Linked DNA regions of Danio rerio. The protein of the gene in region 3 binds, or shares a complex with, the protein of the main gene of each other region. Links are inferred from orthologs where the notes say so. Each region holds a gene or a part of one and is shown on either strand. Other genes may lie near its edges.

Region 1 (5,125 bases), about 430 kb from region 3:
TTTTTGCTGGCTGTTTTTTTTAATAAAGGAGCTCTGTAATTAACAATGCACTGTTTAACCCATACATTCATTTACCTAAAACAAAAAAAATTAAATAATTTAAAATTTAAATAATTTAGCATGATGTTATTTTCTGAGAACTTCCTGACCCAAGAGCTATACATGCCGTATATACACACTTTATTGACGTTTAAAGCAATGTGTATGGTACTTTTTGTTAAATACTTTTGTTTTTTGTTTACTTTAGTTAAGTAAACAAAAATGTGTGGTTTGGTACTTTTTGTTAAATACTTTTGTTTTTTGTTTACTTTAGTTAAGTAAAATCACTGCCCATCAAGACAATTCCCTTTTTTCTTTTCTTCAATGTGTTCAAAATAATGAAAATACTTCCATCACAAAAATGTATGACAGCCATCTTCGTTTCTCTCTGTTCCTACGGGAGCACAGTCTCTCATTAATTCAATGTGACTAAGTTAATTTTAATTCAGCAATTACATTTATTAAAAGGTGATTAAATAAGTTAAAAAGTAACTTGCATTAGAAAACAGTAACTCCATTATTATTACTTAATTTTTTTAAGTAATGTATTACTTTTTTTCGTTACTTATATAATATTACGTAACTTGCGTTACTTGTAACACAGCTGTACATTTCTAAACTGTTTACAAAACATATTTAGGCAATAAAGAAGGTATAGACAACTAAATTTAGTTCCATTGTGAATGTGGCCTAAATGGAAATTATATGATAATAGAATGGACTACATGCACAGCTAGTATTTTTAGCCATTGATAAGCTACCAGTGAAAGCTTTACGTGGCTATTTTCAATTTCATTAATGTTCTTTTTACAGCATCAATGTTGTAATGTAATTCAAATACAATCAGTTAAACAGACTTAATCATTCATTTAGTTGTTCAAGTGTAAAATGAGATAAAAGCCTCCAGGAGCTTCAGGCTAGCGCAGAAACTCCATTAAAAATACTGTGGTAAAATAAAATTTCACATTTTAAAGACGTGGTGGGGTAAATGGAATTTAACGCAATGCTTCTTGTCCGGTCTGAGATCCACTTCATATTGTATATCTACCAGACTGTGAAGATCACTGATTTTGAAAGAAATCAGATCTTAAATGTGGCGAATTTGTAATGTAAAGACCTGAAATGCAAATACCCCATTAAGTGTGTGACCATGTTGTGCAAGTTTGCAGATGAAAGATACACATACTTCTTCATGAGTTCTGCTATACGCTGACAGTCCTCTTTATCATAGAACCAGATTCCATAGATGGACACTGCCAAAAAAAAATACACATACATGATAATATTAACCTCAGTCACTCATTTAATTAAAATCAATCAAGAGCAGAAGACTATAATTGTTAAGCACCGTATCAGAATTGTCAGTAGAAGAAGTCCATACATGCACTTAAACTGCCATCATACATACACACTCCACTCTAGCTGACATTCCTTTCCCAGACAGTCCAAACTCCCATGTGCCCAAGTAGAACTGGAGCCAAGTGCTCTGCCAATCCACCAAAATGTCGTTAACCACCAAAATGTAGTTGCCAGATGCTCGCATCAACATTCTGTTGCCTTTTTGAAGAACAACTGTATTGGGAACAACTAAGAGAAGTTTCAGTGACTGTGGTCTCTCATGAACTAAACTTAGAGACTGGTGCTGACAGCCGAATCAGGACCTGTTCCATTCACCTCTAGAAGAGATAACAAAATCCAAGGCAGTAAAAGAGAGGGAGAGGAAGAGAGAGAGAAAGAGGGCTGGTGCTATATTCACAACCGTTCATTCTCTGAGCGGAGAGCACCACACGGGTCAGCGCCTGGGGAAAAAACCCAAACAAAATACTGCCTGGGAACTGAGGAACACAACTCAGAGAAAGAGAGAGAGCAAGGAGAGGAGAACAAGGAGAAGAACGAAGAGAAGGATGAGAGGATTTTGGAAGCGCTTTTGAAGTTTAACTTGGCAAAATACACACACAAAAAAGAAAAGAAAAACAGAGACCTGAACCACACATTGAGTCAGACAGAGTGCAGGAGCATTTGCTGCGAGTTTTACTGAATGGAGCTGAATCCACATGAGCACTGAGGAGACTGTGAACTTGTGACCGACTTCAAATAGACCAAAGCTTCAATCTGCTGAGGATTCAAACCTCAGAAAAAAAAGGAGATGCTGCGGGGGCTGTTCAGTTGGCGCAGGCTGAAGCATGAGCGACTGGAGGAGGAAGTGGAGGTGCGGTTCAAAGGGAAGCTTGTATCGGAGAGAGAGCTGGGCTACACACATGTGCGGCCAGGAGGTAAGAGCTTTGTATACTTAACAGTCCTGCTGAAAGTCTCCAGCTATCCCGTTACAAATCACAACCACAACACTGCGTTTGTTTAAGAGATGAGTGGACAGAATCCAGCACCCTTGGCACACGAGGAGGAGCGATGGACAATGCAGGACTTCTCGCTGTGTGAAACCTAATTAGTAGTGTTTGTTATGGCCATATTGGCTCTACCAAGTATTTAGCTGTTAATCGGGTACTGAAACTGTTTGATCCAGGTCATGAAGGATTTAGGGTGGGACAATATTGGGGGGAAAAAAGTAACTATTATAAGAATTACAACTGCAATTTGACTTGAAAGTTTTATAACAAAAAATGTCAAGGCTATAAAAATATCTTAGCGACTTGTTTATGGCTGTAAAATATTTATGACATGCTTAAATGTTTTCCTTTTACTGAAGAGCCGTGGTTTACTCAAACACGCTCATACATAAATTCACAGCCTTTTGATATACTCACTAAGCCTCATTGCGATTTTGGTTTTATTTTAATTAAACATTCAGTCATTCTGCAAAGAACTCGTGAGGATTGTTGAGAACACCGGAGTATAAGCCAAAACACCTTAGCAATCGCATTGCAATGCACAAACAGCCACTAACAACATTTGACAAATGCAAATCAACTTCTTGGCTACCTCTCACAACATTCCAGCATTGGTGCAGCAAGATTGATCAGAGATAAAATCCCCTCAAGGGGAATTAAATCAGTGAAATAGTCTGCCTGTAAAATCTCACCTACATCAAAGTAGCCAGCACAAAGTTTCCCATCAGACCGTCAGCAGATGCACAGAATTTCACGGTCAAAGCTCATTATTGGACTGGCTGAAACATCAGGATCTACAATGATTTGTTCAATAAGCCTAAAGTAGTTTCTCTACTTTGAAAGCCTAAAGCTTTTCTCCATGCACTCTATTTGCAGGTCTCCTTATCATGAATTTCCTTGGAAGCCTGTGCATGTATGCGTGTTAGAGAGGGTTGTTATCTAATCAGGATTGGTTGGTCGGGTCTATGATGCTGGCAGGAAACTGAAAGAGAAACACACACTTCTCTGCACCATATAAGGCACTGTGGCTCTGGGGCCTCTCAAACAGGCCCGCCTGCCAGCGATCTCTGATCTCTCGTTCTCTCACACACACATACACTCACCAGTATGACAGCTTTTTCAATCTAGACACACTTTTACTGCAATTAAGCTCTGAAGTTTTTGGATGGATGCACTCCCTCTGCTCCCTGCCCATCTACACCTTGGTTATTAACATGTGTTTCTGTTTGACATTGATCCTCCTTAATACATGTCAAAATTCATTTATATCAGTCACATTTGAAGGTGGTCAAACTTTTGTCATTAGCACAGTCGGCTGATGTCTGTGAACACCATCTGTGTGCAGCCTGATTTTTTTTTTGTTCTTGCAGTCTAGTGCATTGAGGGGCCAGTGATTTAATGTGCTTCCACATTCACAGTCAATTAATTTTGAAAGCGTTGCTCACTAAACTGTGCATGAGATGGAGCAGAAAACTGAAAACAAAGTTTACCTGGGCCTTAAACACTCATAAATCTGAACATTAGTAAAAGACTACTTTCTCACCAGACAATCAACCTCTGAGCATTCCAAATTAAACACACATTACCCTTTGTTGTAAATGGTGATGCAAGCACGATCCCTAGACCTATTTGGAAATAAATAAATAAATAAATAAAAATGTCTGGTGATCTCATTTGAACAACCAAAAAAACTATATCACTATTTCACTGCCACTATTAGGGCAGAGCAGACGGATGCTGAGCTGCTTATCTTTTTGGAGGACGCCCAGCACATATTAAATGTGTCTTTATAGTGAACCCCCTTGTCTACCCCTACATAACACAATCATTAAGATACATTTTATTATTGACTAAAATTGTGCACAAGCAAGTTTCCTTTATATTATATAGTCTATTTAGATAATGTATAGCCTGTGGTGCAAACAAATAAGTGCGTAATATATGTTGACCCTGCACCTCATCATTTCTCTTGTTCACTTTCTCTTTCACTTATGCATTCCTTTCTAAAGCTCGTATCCGGATATAAACTAACATCATCACTGTAAGCAATAGTCACAATCTATTTTTTAGATGTCTGGATGATGTTTTTTTCTGTTTTAAAAACATTTTAGATGTGAGTCAGTCTGTTCCTGCAGGCGAAATAGAGCAAAGTGAATTTTAAATGACATCAGTGATAGCTTATTAATATGACCAAATAATAATAATTAAATCACTCTTTATCTTGCCATCTTGACTACCTCATGATAAATTTGTCTAAAGCTGCATGCGCCAGCCCAGGGAGAATGTAATTGATGGAGGAATATTAAAAAATTTCCATTGTAAGCCAAAAAAGGTTTTGTGTGCCTGCATGCAAGCAGTCCTTCTGAAAGAGTTTGTAGCATCGTCGTAAAGCTTTAACTTCAGAGAAGTGCATTTGTTTTCCTGATTAACTGATTACAAAAGATAACGAGCCTGAATGTCCTTTTGTTAAATTTAATTTGACAATAAATCAGCTAAATTCAGGTCCATTCATTTTAATTATATTTTTAATAAAATAAACACATTTACAATTCTAAGGCTGAATTTATGTCCATGCTTTTTCTTTATGCCATTAAACTTTTTTCTCGTCTTTCCCATTTGTCATTTCAAGTGTTAGCAGGTTTGGCATGCTGTCCCGAGAGAGAACCCTGAGCTCGGAGATAATTGAGCCCAGGGCTCCCTCCTGGTCAGTTAGCATGTAAGGAGGTACGAGATCAGGTAGT
Region 2 (4,452 bases), on a different chromosome or scaffold from region 3:
CAGAATATTCCTCATGTAACTTAATGATTGCTTATAATGAAGGGGCAGCACGAGTGTTAAGACTAGAGCAGTGAGTCTGCCTAACTGCAGACATGCATTCTTGCAACACTAACTTTCAGAAAAGCTATACTAATATGAGCTCAAAACGCTCATGCTCATAATTAATCTACGTTCATGATTATATTCATGTATATGATTATTGTTGTAATTTTCAATCAATTCCATGCGTGTTCAAAAAAAAGGTCAGGAGAGGTTTTTCTTCAATGTTCAAAATCTTAACAATTTATTGGATACAAATTAATAATTTGATTCAAAGAATTCTGTTATCCTCAATGCAATGCAAAAGTTACATTGAGGAGGCGCACAACCACTTTCTTTTCCTGACTCCAACTTATATAGGCAGCTGATATTAACATGTGGAGTTTCGTCAAATTCGTCATTTGTCAATCATTGTCCAGTCCATATGAATTTACATGAATTTAATTTTGCACCAGCATTTATCTACTTCTGCAAAAATGCTAAATAGTATGCACAGCATCCCACACACAACAGTAGAAGTTGTTAATATATGACCCTTACATGACCAATACAAATAATTGTTTGATTAAAAGAAAAAGAGACAAAAATAATAAAAAAATTATTCCTATTTTCTAAAATTTTATATCATAATTTACAATAAAATCCTCTCAACTGTTAAACTGTTAAAGCAACTTAATATGGCGCCAAATAACTTGCTGCATTTATGAATTAAATTATGAAGAATGCTGAAGATCCTGCTTTTGCTTTTTTCATTTCCACAAGTTATTTACAATGACTTTAAAAAGTGAGTTCCTGCAAATAATGCGATATGAAGCTACTGTATGCACATTGCCATGGGAAGTATCTATTGTGTTTTTGATGGAGTGGTCATAACGATTAATCTGTAATTGATCGTTAATTTAAATCAAGATCGATCACAGGACTTTGTTGAAATTGACATCCATACAGACCAACTATGTTATTTTAAATGAAGTAGTTAGAAAACAATCCTTTTCCTGCGAGTTTGGATCCGTCATATCGTATCATTCTCGTCACTCCTGCAGCTCAGAGATGCTTGTAACAGACGCGCGGTGCTTCCCACATATCTGTAGCATAACATGTCCAGCTGAACTAAACTGATTCTTATAAAAATGATTTAACACTTCCGTACAAGCCTATGTATTGCACACTTAACTTAGCCCCCCGTTCCCACGGCTTCAACGTTAAGCATGCCTAGGGCATCCAGGCAGAAAAAAATAGGTTGTGTGGTCATACATTGGCCAGATATTATTATTATTATTAATAATAATAATAATTATTATTATTATAATAATAATAATAATAATAATAAATACATAAATAAATGCTACATAAATTAAAGCAAAAAGATAAGTCGTAATCACGACATAACAACTTTTTGTTATGTCAAGATCAAAACAAAACGAGAAAAAAAATATTTTTAAGCATGGCCTCTTACGACATCCGTATTTTACAGTTTAATTTTGACCTTTTAAGTTTTAAAATAATCATATTCTCAAAAGTCAAACCATAACTTTTCATCTTAAAATTTTGGACCTAATATTTGTAATTATATTTCATCTCTATTTTTGTGTGGCAAAAATGGTCTTCTATGAATGTCATAAATGTGCCATGTGATTGTGTTGAAAGCTTAATTATCAGAAGGTCATCTGCATGAACATCACCTCCCTGGTTTCCACCTTGCATGATGCTTCTACCTTTCCAGACTTCCCCACATTTGCAGCTTTTTTGCCATCTCTTTATTATTTGTTTTCTGGCCTCGTAACGGTAGTGCTTTTAGAGACTTGTGTTCTTTCTTTCTTTCTTTTAGAGGTTTGGAAGGGTTTATTGATGTGGTTTTTCAAGGTTAGACTTCTAGGTCAAGATTATATAACCAGTAAGCAGTTACACACAAGCCTAGATGTCTTCCTGTGCTCTTATGTGTCTTATGCTCTTATTTTCTATCTCTCCTGGTAGCTTTTTTCTGCTTTTTTCTTATGAGCTGTGATATAACGCTAGGGTTTTTAAGTTGGTTTATGTTTGAATCTCTGTTGTGCAAGAGCGCTTGTGTTTACGCCCAGTATCTGTGGCTTCTGCTTTGAAACGCTCTACACCCCCTATCAGTTGCTCATGCGTATTGGCTACGTGTTTTTGCTTACGACGTGTCCTTTTGCCACTTTACTTTTCCTCTATGGATTCTTATTGAGTAATAAAGTAATAAAAAAGGAGATTTTTTTACTTTAGGCTGTAAACCTTGCTGCAATTCAATTCTATAACAATAATTCTATACATAATACACTTGATTCTGTTATAGTAAGTGTATTTTTAAGTAAGGACTGAATGTCTTTCCTCCTCCCCGTTTTTCTCCTCTCTCTAACTGCGTAGGTGCCTGAGCACAAAGAATTTAGCAGTGTGATGTGCCCCACTAGCATGCAGGCTGATCCACTGCAAGTGCCAGGAAGAGGCGTCTCTATCCGAGCCTCTTCCATGCCTCGCCTGGCGGTAGAGCCACAGGTACTGCCTGTGTTAGCTTAGACTTGCGCTGATAACTAGCTGCTTTCTCTAATCCTACACTGTGATTAGCATCATTGTGGGCATTGGTTCCAAAGTGGGAATGGAAGCAGTGGGTAGAAAGCTGTTGTTTTTCATTTGGTGGGACTGTGATGGCAATTTTTACTGGAAATGTTCCCTTAAACCAACTTCTGGTGTGTTTATGTTGCAGTGATTATAAAAAGGTTATTTATGAAAATATAACAATTAAATATAATAAAATAATTAAATATAATTTTAATAATGAATTATACACAGAAGGCTACATCAATATCAGTTACACACACTGTCAATGATACATTATTATTATTTTTGCTATATTTATATGTTTATATGTTTCAGTATAAACAGTGCATCCAGAAAGTTTTAACTTAAAAATTTTTTTATTTTACAGCCTTATTCCAAAATGGATTAAATTAATTGACTTCCTCAAAATTCTACACACAATACCCCATAATGACAATGTAAAAAAAGTTTTTTGAAACTGTTGCAAATTTATTACAAATAAAATATCTGAAAAATCACATATACATAAGTATTCACAGCCTTTGCCGTGAAGCTCTAAATTGAGCTCAGGTACGTTCTGTACCACCTGGAATTTGCCAAAATGCATCTGAAGGACTCTCAGACCATAAGAAACAAAGTTCTCTGGTCTGATGAGACTAAAATTGTACTCTTTGGAGTGAATGCCAGGCGTTACGCTTGGAGAAAACCAGATACTGTACAGATTATTACCAGGCTAATACCATCCCTACAGTAAAGCATGGTGGTGGCAGCATCATGCTGTGGGGATGTTTTTCAGATGCAGGAGCTAGAAGAATAGTCAGGATAGAGGGAAAGAGGAATGCAGCAATGTACAAAGACATCCTGAATGAAAACCTGCTTCGGAGTGCTCTTGACCTTAGACTGGGGCGACGTTTCATTTTCCAGCAGGACAATGACCCAAAACACACCACAAAAATATCAATGGAGTGGCTTCACAACAACTCGGTGAATGTCCTTGAGTGGCCCATCAGATCTAAATCCAGATCTAAAACCAGATCTAAATCCTATTGAACATCTCTGGAGAGATCCGAAAATGGCTGTACACCGTCGCTTCCCATCCAAACTGATAGAGCTTGAGAGGCTGTGTCAAGCTTGTGGCATCATATGCAAAAAGACTTGACGCTGTAATTGCTGCCAAAGGTGCATCAACAAAGTATTGAGCAAAGGTTGTAAATATTTATGTACATGTGATTTTTTTTTATATTTAATAAATTTGCAACTATTTTGGTTGTGTGTAGAATTTTGAGGAAATAAATGAAATTAATCTGTTTTGGAATAAGACTGTAACAAAAAAAAAAAAAAAAGTGGAAAAAGTGAAACGCTATGAATACTTTCCGAATGCACTGAGTGAGTGTGTATATATATATATATATATATATATATATATATATATATATATATATATATATATATATATATATATATATATATATATATATATATATTCAGTTTAATGACATACATTTTATATATATATATATATATATTTATTAAATTTTTTAAGTATTTTTATACTTAGAATTAGTACATATTATATATGCTTTAAATGTTGTCAAATTTTAGATAGTTGATTAACTGGTGTGCCTAAAGTTAACCTGTATCACTTTTTAATTTAGTGAGGATGCTTTAACCAGTTTCCAGAACCAGCCTGACTTACTAGTTATTTTTCCAGCAGGGAATGATGGGAGGTGGTAGTTGCCTTCATTAGAACCTAGCTCAGAAAACTTGTTTATCGAAACCCATTTCACATACATCATGTAGTCTTATTTAATGTAATGTATGTATGGTTTCAAAGAGAGTGAACATCTTGCAACATAACAT
Region 3 (5,191 bases):
GTCTGATAATATTTTTTCTTCTGGAGAAAGTCTTATTTGTTTTATTTCGGCTAGAATAAAAACCATTTTTAATTTTTTAAAAACAATTTTAAGGTCAAAATGAATAGCCCTTTTAAGCGTTATTATTTTTTGATAGTCTACAGAACAAACCGACATTATACAATAACTTGCCTAATTACCCTATTCTGCCTAGTTAACCTAATTAAACTAGTTGAGTCTTTAAACGTCACTTTAATCTGTTTAGATGTGTCTAGATAAATATCTACTCAAATATTATTTACTATCATCATGGCAAAGATAAAATATATCTGTTATTAGTAATGAGTTATTAAAACTATTATGATTAGAAATGTGTTGAAAAAAATCTGCTCTCCATTAAACAGAAATTGAGGAAAAAAAATAAACAGTGGGGCTAATAATTCAGGGGGGGCTAATAATTTTGACTTCAACTGTACTGTATTATGATTTTGATATGGACATGTTATAAAACAGCAGAAAAAGAAGAATACCAAAATAGTGCTATTTCTGTGTCAGGTGTAAAGGCACAACAAGACAAATCAGAAACCATTTAAAGATGTCACACCAGAAATTGCAATATTTTGGACATGTCTGAAAGAAGTGGGTCAGAGGGCCTTCAGCAGACTTCACATGATGGAGAAATGGTTGGAAAAATTCAGTGTAATTTGAGATTTTGAGTAATGCAGTCTATGCATTTTAAATGTAATTAATTAAAGTCTATATCCAATCCGGCTGAGGCTTTCCTCCCATGTGTCACCCTCGATCTTTATGCCCAGTTCCTATTATCAAGAATTTTTCTAAAAAGCTGCAGTTACTCAGCTCTTGAAAAATAAAAGTACAAAATCTGAAACCAAATGTTTGGAATCAAGTGAGCCTATTATAATAGCTTATAGACGCTTTTTTCCTCTGGCAAAGATTAAAAATTGGCTATTGCATGATGTACATCATTTCTAATTTGTAAATGGCGAAAGATGTGTGTTGCAGGAAGGGAAAACTTTTAGTTAATAAAATAGTTATTAATATTATTATTATTAAATTATGATTATTACTGTTAGGTTATTATTATAAGACTTTCAATAATAATAATAATAATAATAATAATAATAATAATAATAATAATAATATAATTGTATTGTTTCATTTTCATAAGAGAAGAATTTTTTAACTGCCTTTTATAATTGTTTTAATGTTTAATTTAGTAGAAACTCACTGTTAAAACTTATTTACAGTATTTGCAAAATATATTTATCTACAGAATTCATAAACAGTAAACACCTACTATTCACTCTCTGACAAATACAAAAAATCTATCTATCTATCTATCTATCTATCTATCTATCTATCTATCTATCTATCTATCTATCTATCTATCTATCTATCTATCTATCTATCTATCTATCTATCTATCTATCTATCTGTCTATCTATCTATCTATCTATCTATCTATCTATCTATCTATCTATCTATCTACTTTCCTGTCACTCAGTCGTTGATGGCTCGCAGCGCGTCTCGGTCTCCTTGTATGGAGCGACACGCGTGATGCTGATCGCGCACAGATGGGTGGGGGGCGTGTGGAAACCGATCCGCCACAGCGCACAGTCTAAAAACTGACTCTTTACCGTACAGTCAAACCGGAGAGAGACGCACGGAAACGCCCCACACCGGACTCCCCCGACACCCTCCAAACTAATTCAACAGGGCAAAGGCAGAAGTAGCTGGAGGGACCGAACGCATCCGTGATTTGTTTGTGGAAGTAGCGGCGCTCATGGCGGCAGCTTGACTGTTCTCGGAGGGTCACTTGAGTGGATTTTAGTGGGGAAAAACTCGCGTGTTGGATGTCAGTCAGAAGAATGATGGATGCGCTCAGATTGTCGACCGCTCTTCTTCTACTTCTGTCTTTATGCAGCTTTGGAAGCGCTATACAGTTTCCCGACTCATTTCTGTAAGTAGACGGAACAAAACTTGTTATTGCTATGATTACTAGTTGTTACTCTCAAAGAGTTGGCCGTAAAAGCGTAATACTTTAAGTTTTTGTTGTATACTAATAGAGTCAGGCTGGTGATACTCCAACCACAAGTTGCGTTTCGCGTTCATTCTGCTCAGCTTTTTATAGTTTGTAGTCACACATGCGTGAGACGCACGTCCGTTGAGTTTGGTTTTTACGATGCCATGAGAAATTAAAGGGACAGTTCACCCAAAAATGAAAATATGTGGATAATGTACTCACTCGCAGACCATGTAAGATGTATGTGACTTCCTTTTTCTTCAGTTGGAAGGAGATTTTACCTGAAACTGCCGTCGTTATTTATTTATACACTGTGGGGGAAAAACATAGCCTAGAGGCATAACAAAATTAATAGGCCAAACTGTGACACCTGACAATACATTTAAGTCTTGAATGAAGAAAAATTACCAGTGTGTGGAGGTAACTGACATTATTTACCACATTACATCGACAAATGGTCCCCGGTGTGTTTTACGACAGTCTGGATTTCCTGATAGTATACTTGCATAGTGGAGAAGTCCATTTGATGTGTGCATTTAAAACGGAGAGACGTAATATTTAAAGTAAGTTATTTGCTAGACGTCTTCTGTCTGATGTCAAATAGACATTTGTAATATGTCTTTTAGGTCTAGTTTAGAATGTTTGCAAAAATCATGTTTAATCAACTCTTTATTAACACATTATTTAAGACATTTTATTCAAAAACATTATGTACGTGTGCATAGCTTACTTATGCTTATACTGGTTGCTGGAACCTATATACTGTAAAAGTCGTATGTAATCATTATATGCTCACATTCTCTGGAGGCTATGGATTGAAAGTAACAATGTTCATGTTCACTTTTATTTCATTTTCATTTATAAAATAATGTTTATTTTCATGCACAGAATTTTAAACATCTCATTGTATCATCAGGAGCTCAGGTATTAATTTTATTTCGCCCATATATGTATTTTTTTACTTTCTAAGTGGCTGTAGCTGTTGACTGGCATTTTATGGATCACTTAGGATTACATTTTTAATTAAAAACCTTGTTTAATGTTCTACTGAAGAAAAAAAAAGATCTTGGATGACCTTATGGCGAGTAAATTAACAGCACCTTTTTATTTTGGCTGAAAGATCCCTTTAATGAGATATTTAATCCAAAAATAAATAATGTTGCTCCATGTTTTTTGTGTTCTTCTGGACGAAAAAAGAAATTTAAGCCCCACAGAAGGGCTTTCTTTTTTACTATGCAGTATTTACTAAGTTTCAAAATGTCAAGTCTTAAAATAGAACATGAAATCACCACAGAAATATCCCAAAAGTGATTTATATCACTCATATCGTTATCAAAAGGCACCTATTTAACTCAAAATCTTGACTCTACTTGACTCAAATCTTCAAGATTTGTTGTCTTTTGTGTCTCCAGAATGTGTCTGTAAAGTTTCAGTTCCAAACACCCATCAGATTATTCATTATAGCTTTCAGTATATTGTAATTTTCTGCTCTGAACACAATTTGTAGCTGTTTTTGTTGCCCGTGCCTTTAATGCTAGATCTCCCTGCCCACCGTTGCCACATGCCTGTCACAGTGTGCCTCAGGCCCCGTTTACACTAATGCGTTTTAGTTTGAAAACGCATAAGTTTTGCTATGGTTACGGCATCCGTCCACACTACAAAATGCAGCGTTTTGGAAACACTGTAGAGCCTGTTTCCACTCTAAAACGCTGCTGCTCCGTCTCAGTGTGGATGAAGGAAAACAGAGACATCTGAAAATGGAGGCGGGGCTGCCGAGATTTGCTAGCTGATTGGGGCTTTTGTGTCATTGTGAATCTTTCCCTTATTCGTCAAGCCCCTATCACATGACTGTAACACATGGCTTTAACGCTATATCGGAAGACAACAGACCAGCCTTCACTGTAAACAACAACATGGACACAGAAATGCGTTGTTTGCACTATTGTCTGTTTTAGGCGCCATTGTGCAGTTAAACTCTGCCTTTTTTACCACAGCAGCGGCATATATTCGCTAGAATGCACATGCCCAGAGTGCGCGAATGGTCACGTGATATACGTTTTTGGTGGCGTAGTGTGGACGGAGATATGTTCAGAAACGCTAGGTGAAACGCGAGTGTGGACGCGGATCGTTTTTGATCTAAAACGCTGTTTTCAAACTAAAACGCACTAGTGTAAACGGGGCCTCAGTCTCCTGCTGCATCAGATAAACAGCACAGTGACAGACACGAAGGAAGCAGATCTCACGTTACATTTGTGAGGAATACTACAGTAAGAACTTTCCCATTGATTATTTATTTAATGTATTTGTTGTGGAGTAAATTCAAGCCTTTCTGCAACAATGAGTCACACACAATGTTGTTACAAAGTTTGCGCACATACACAGACACACAAACACAGCACGCAAATGCTTAACTTTGATTAAAGTTTCAAGTTTTTACACGGCAAATGTGACAGGATATACATTAATATCCACTGCTGTATTGATAACCGTAATGTTGATGTACAAAATAAACCTGATTAAGCGTCCACAGACCAGGATTAAAGGGTCGTCTTTCATAATTGTAGTGACATGCAGCTGTAGTGATAAAGACGGTAAAATTGCTATAATTCATTACAAACATCCACTGTTTTAAAAACGTTTTAAACTTGTAAAAGTCATTCTTGATCACATTTGATGATAATTGATGATCACAGTGAGCTGAACAGATTTACTCTTAGTTGCTTTGCGCACATCCAATCTTGTTGTCGTGTTATTACGGAGACATGTTAATACTCAGCTGTCAATTTGGTGGGCGGGGAAACCGTACTCCTACGTCACGTTGTGGTGAGCCACAAAATGGGAAGTATTTGCATCCTATTTTAACGTGAGCAAATAAAAAAAAAGAGACTTATTGTCTTTATATGACTCCTGTGGACACACTATACACACAGTTCAGTCCAAACAGCTTTCAAAAGAGGAGTTTCATCATAGGTGCCCTTTAAAACTCTCTTGGTAAGTCAATTAGATACAGAATATATGTGATGAACAGATTAAATATAACTTGATACTCATTAAAAATCTTTCTATTTCTATTATTTTATTTTCTGTGACGTACAATTCCTGAGTGAATTTTTACTTTTAATTTTATCCTCTTGATCTAATTCACAAAAAAATATCTTATTGGTTTCA

Evidence for each region.
Region 1: the proteins of cacna2d1a (region 3) and cacna1c are in contact, whole or in part, in a cryo-EM structure (PDB 8WEA), measured with the Homo sapiens proteins. The link is inferred for Danio rerio from reciprocal best matches to the Homo sapiens genes CACNA2D1 and CACNA1C. Residues at the interface, in NP_001353796.1 of Homo sapiens: Thr170, Asp171, Tyr173, Ile233, Leu235, Gly262, Ser263, Ser265, Lys270, Thr274, Ala327, Lys328, Gly329, Ile330, Glu366, Gln391, His392, Tyr394, Ile416, Gly417; in NP_955630.3 of Homo sapiens: Phe147, Pro148, Glu149, Asp150, Asp151, Ser152, Asn153, Ala154, Asn678, Lys1090, Gly1091, Asn1092, Tyr1093, Ile1094, Tyr1096, Gly1099, Val1101, Pro1104, Ile1106, Arg1109, Tyr1156.
Region 2: the proteins of cacna2d1a (region 3) and cacna1ea are in contact, whole or in part, in a cryo-EM structure (PDB 8EPM), measured with the Homo sapiens proteins. The link is inferred for Danio rerio from reciprocal best matches to the Homo sapiens genes CACNA2D1 and CACNA1E. Residues at the interface, in NP_001353796.1 of Homo sapiens: Thr170, Asp171, Tyr173, Ile233, Leu235, Ser261, Gly262, Ser263, Ser265, Gly266, Leu267, Lys270, Ala327, Lys328, Gly329, Ile330, Thr331, Glu366, Gln391, Asn393, Tyr394, Ile416, Gly417; in NP_001192222.1 of Homo sapiens: Gln110, Leu112, Pro113, Glu114, Asp115, Asp116, Lys117, Pro119, Arg122, Asn630, Phe631, Asn632, Asp633, Gly634, Ile1330, Gly1331, Asn1332, Val1334, His1336, Met1341, Val1343, Arg1346, Arg1393, Ser1394.

Annotation. Positions count from the first base shown.
Region 1 is NC_133179.1:20,902,229-20,907,353, forward strand, and holds the start of cacna1c (voltage-dependent L-type calcium channel subunit alpha-1C), read left to right. Parts: upstream 1-1,793; 5' UTR 1,794-2,185; coding exon 2,186-2,312; intron 2,313-3,076; exon of another isoform or gene 3,077-3,325; intron 3,326-5,125. Other genes in the region: dcp1b (mRNA-decapping enzyme 1B), read right to left, coding at 1,226-1,292. UniProt on the Homo sapiens protein: Pore-forming, alpha-1C subunit of the voltage-gated calcium channel that gives rise to L-type calcium currents. Mediates influx of calcium ions into the cytoplasm, and thereby triggers calcium release from the sarcoplasm.
Region 2 is NC_133183.1:16,585,666-16,590,117, forward strand, and holds part of cacna1ea (voltage-dependent R-type calcium channel subunit alpha-1E), read left to right. Parts: intron 1-2,421; coding exon 2,422-2,550; intron 2,551-4,452. UniProt on the Homo sapiens protein: Voltage-sensitive calcium channels (VSCC) mediate the entry of calcium ions into excitable cells.
Region 3 is NC_133179.1:20,474,412-20,479,602, reverse strand, and holds the start of cacna2d1a (voltage-dependent calcium channel subunit alpha-2/delta-1a precursor), read left to right. Parts: upstream 1-1,758; 5' UTR 1,759-1,853; coding exon 1,854-1,960; intron 1,961-5,191. UniProt on the Homo sapiens protein: The alpha-2/delta subunit of voltage-dependent calcium channels regulates calcium current density and activation/inactivation kinetics of the calcium channel. Plays an important role in excitation-contraction coupling.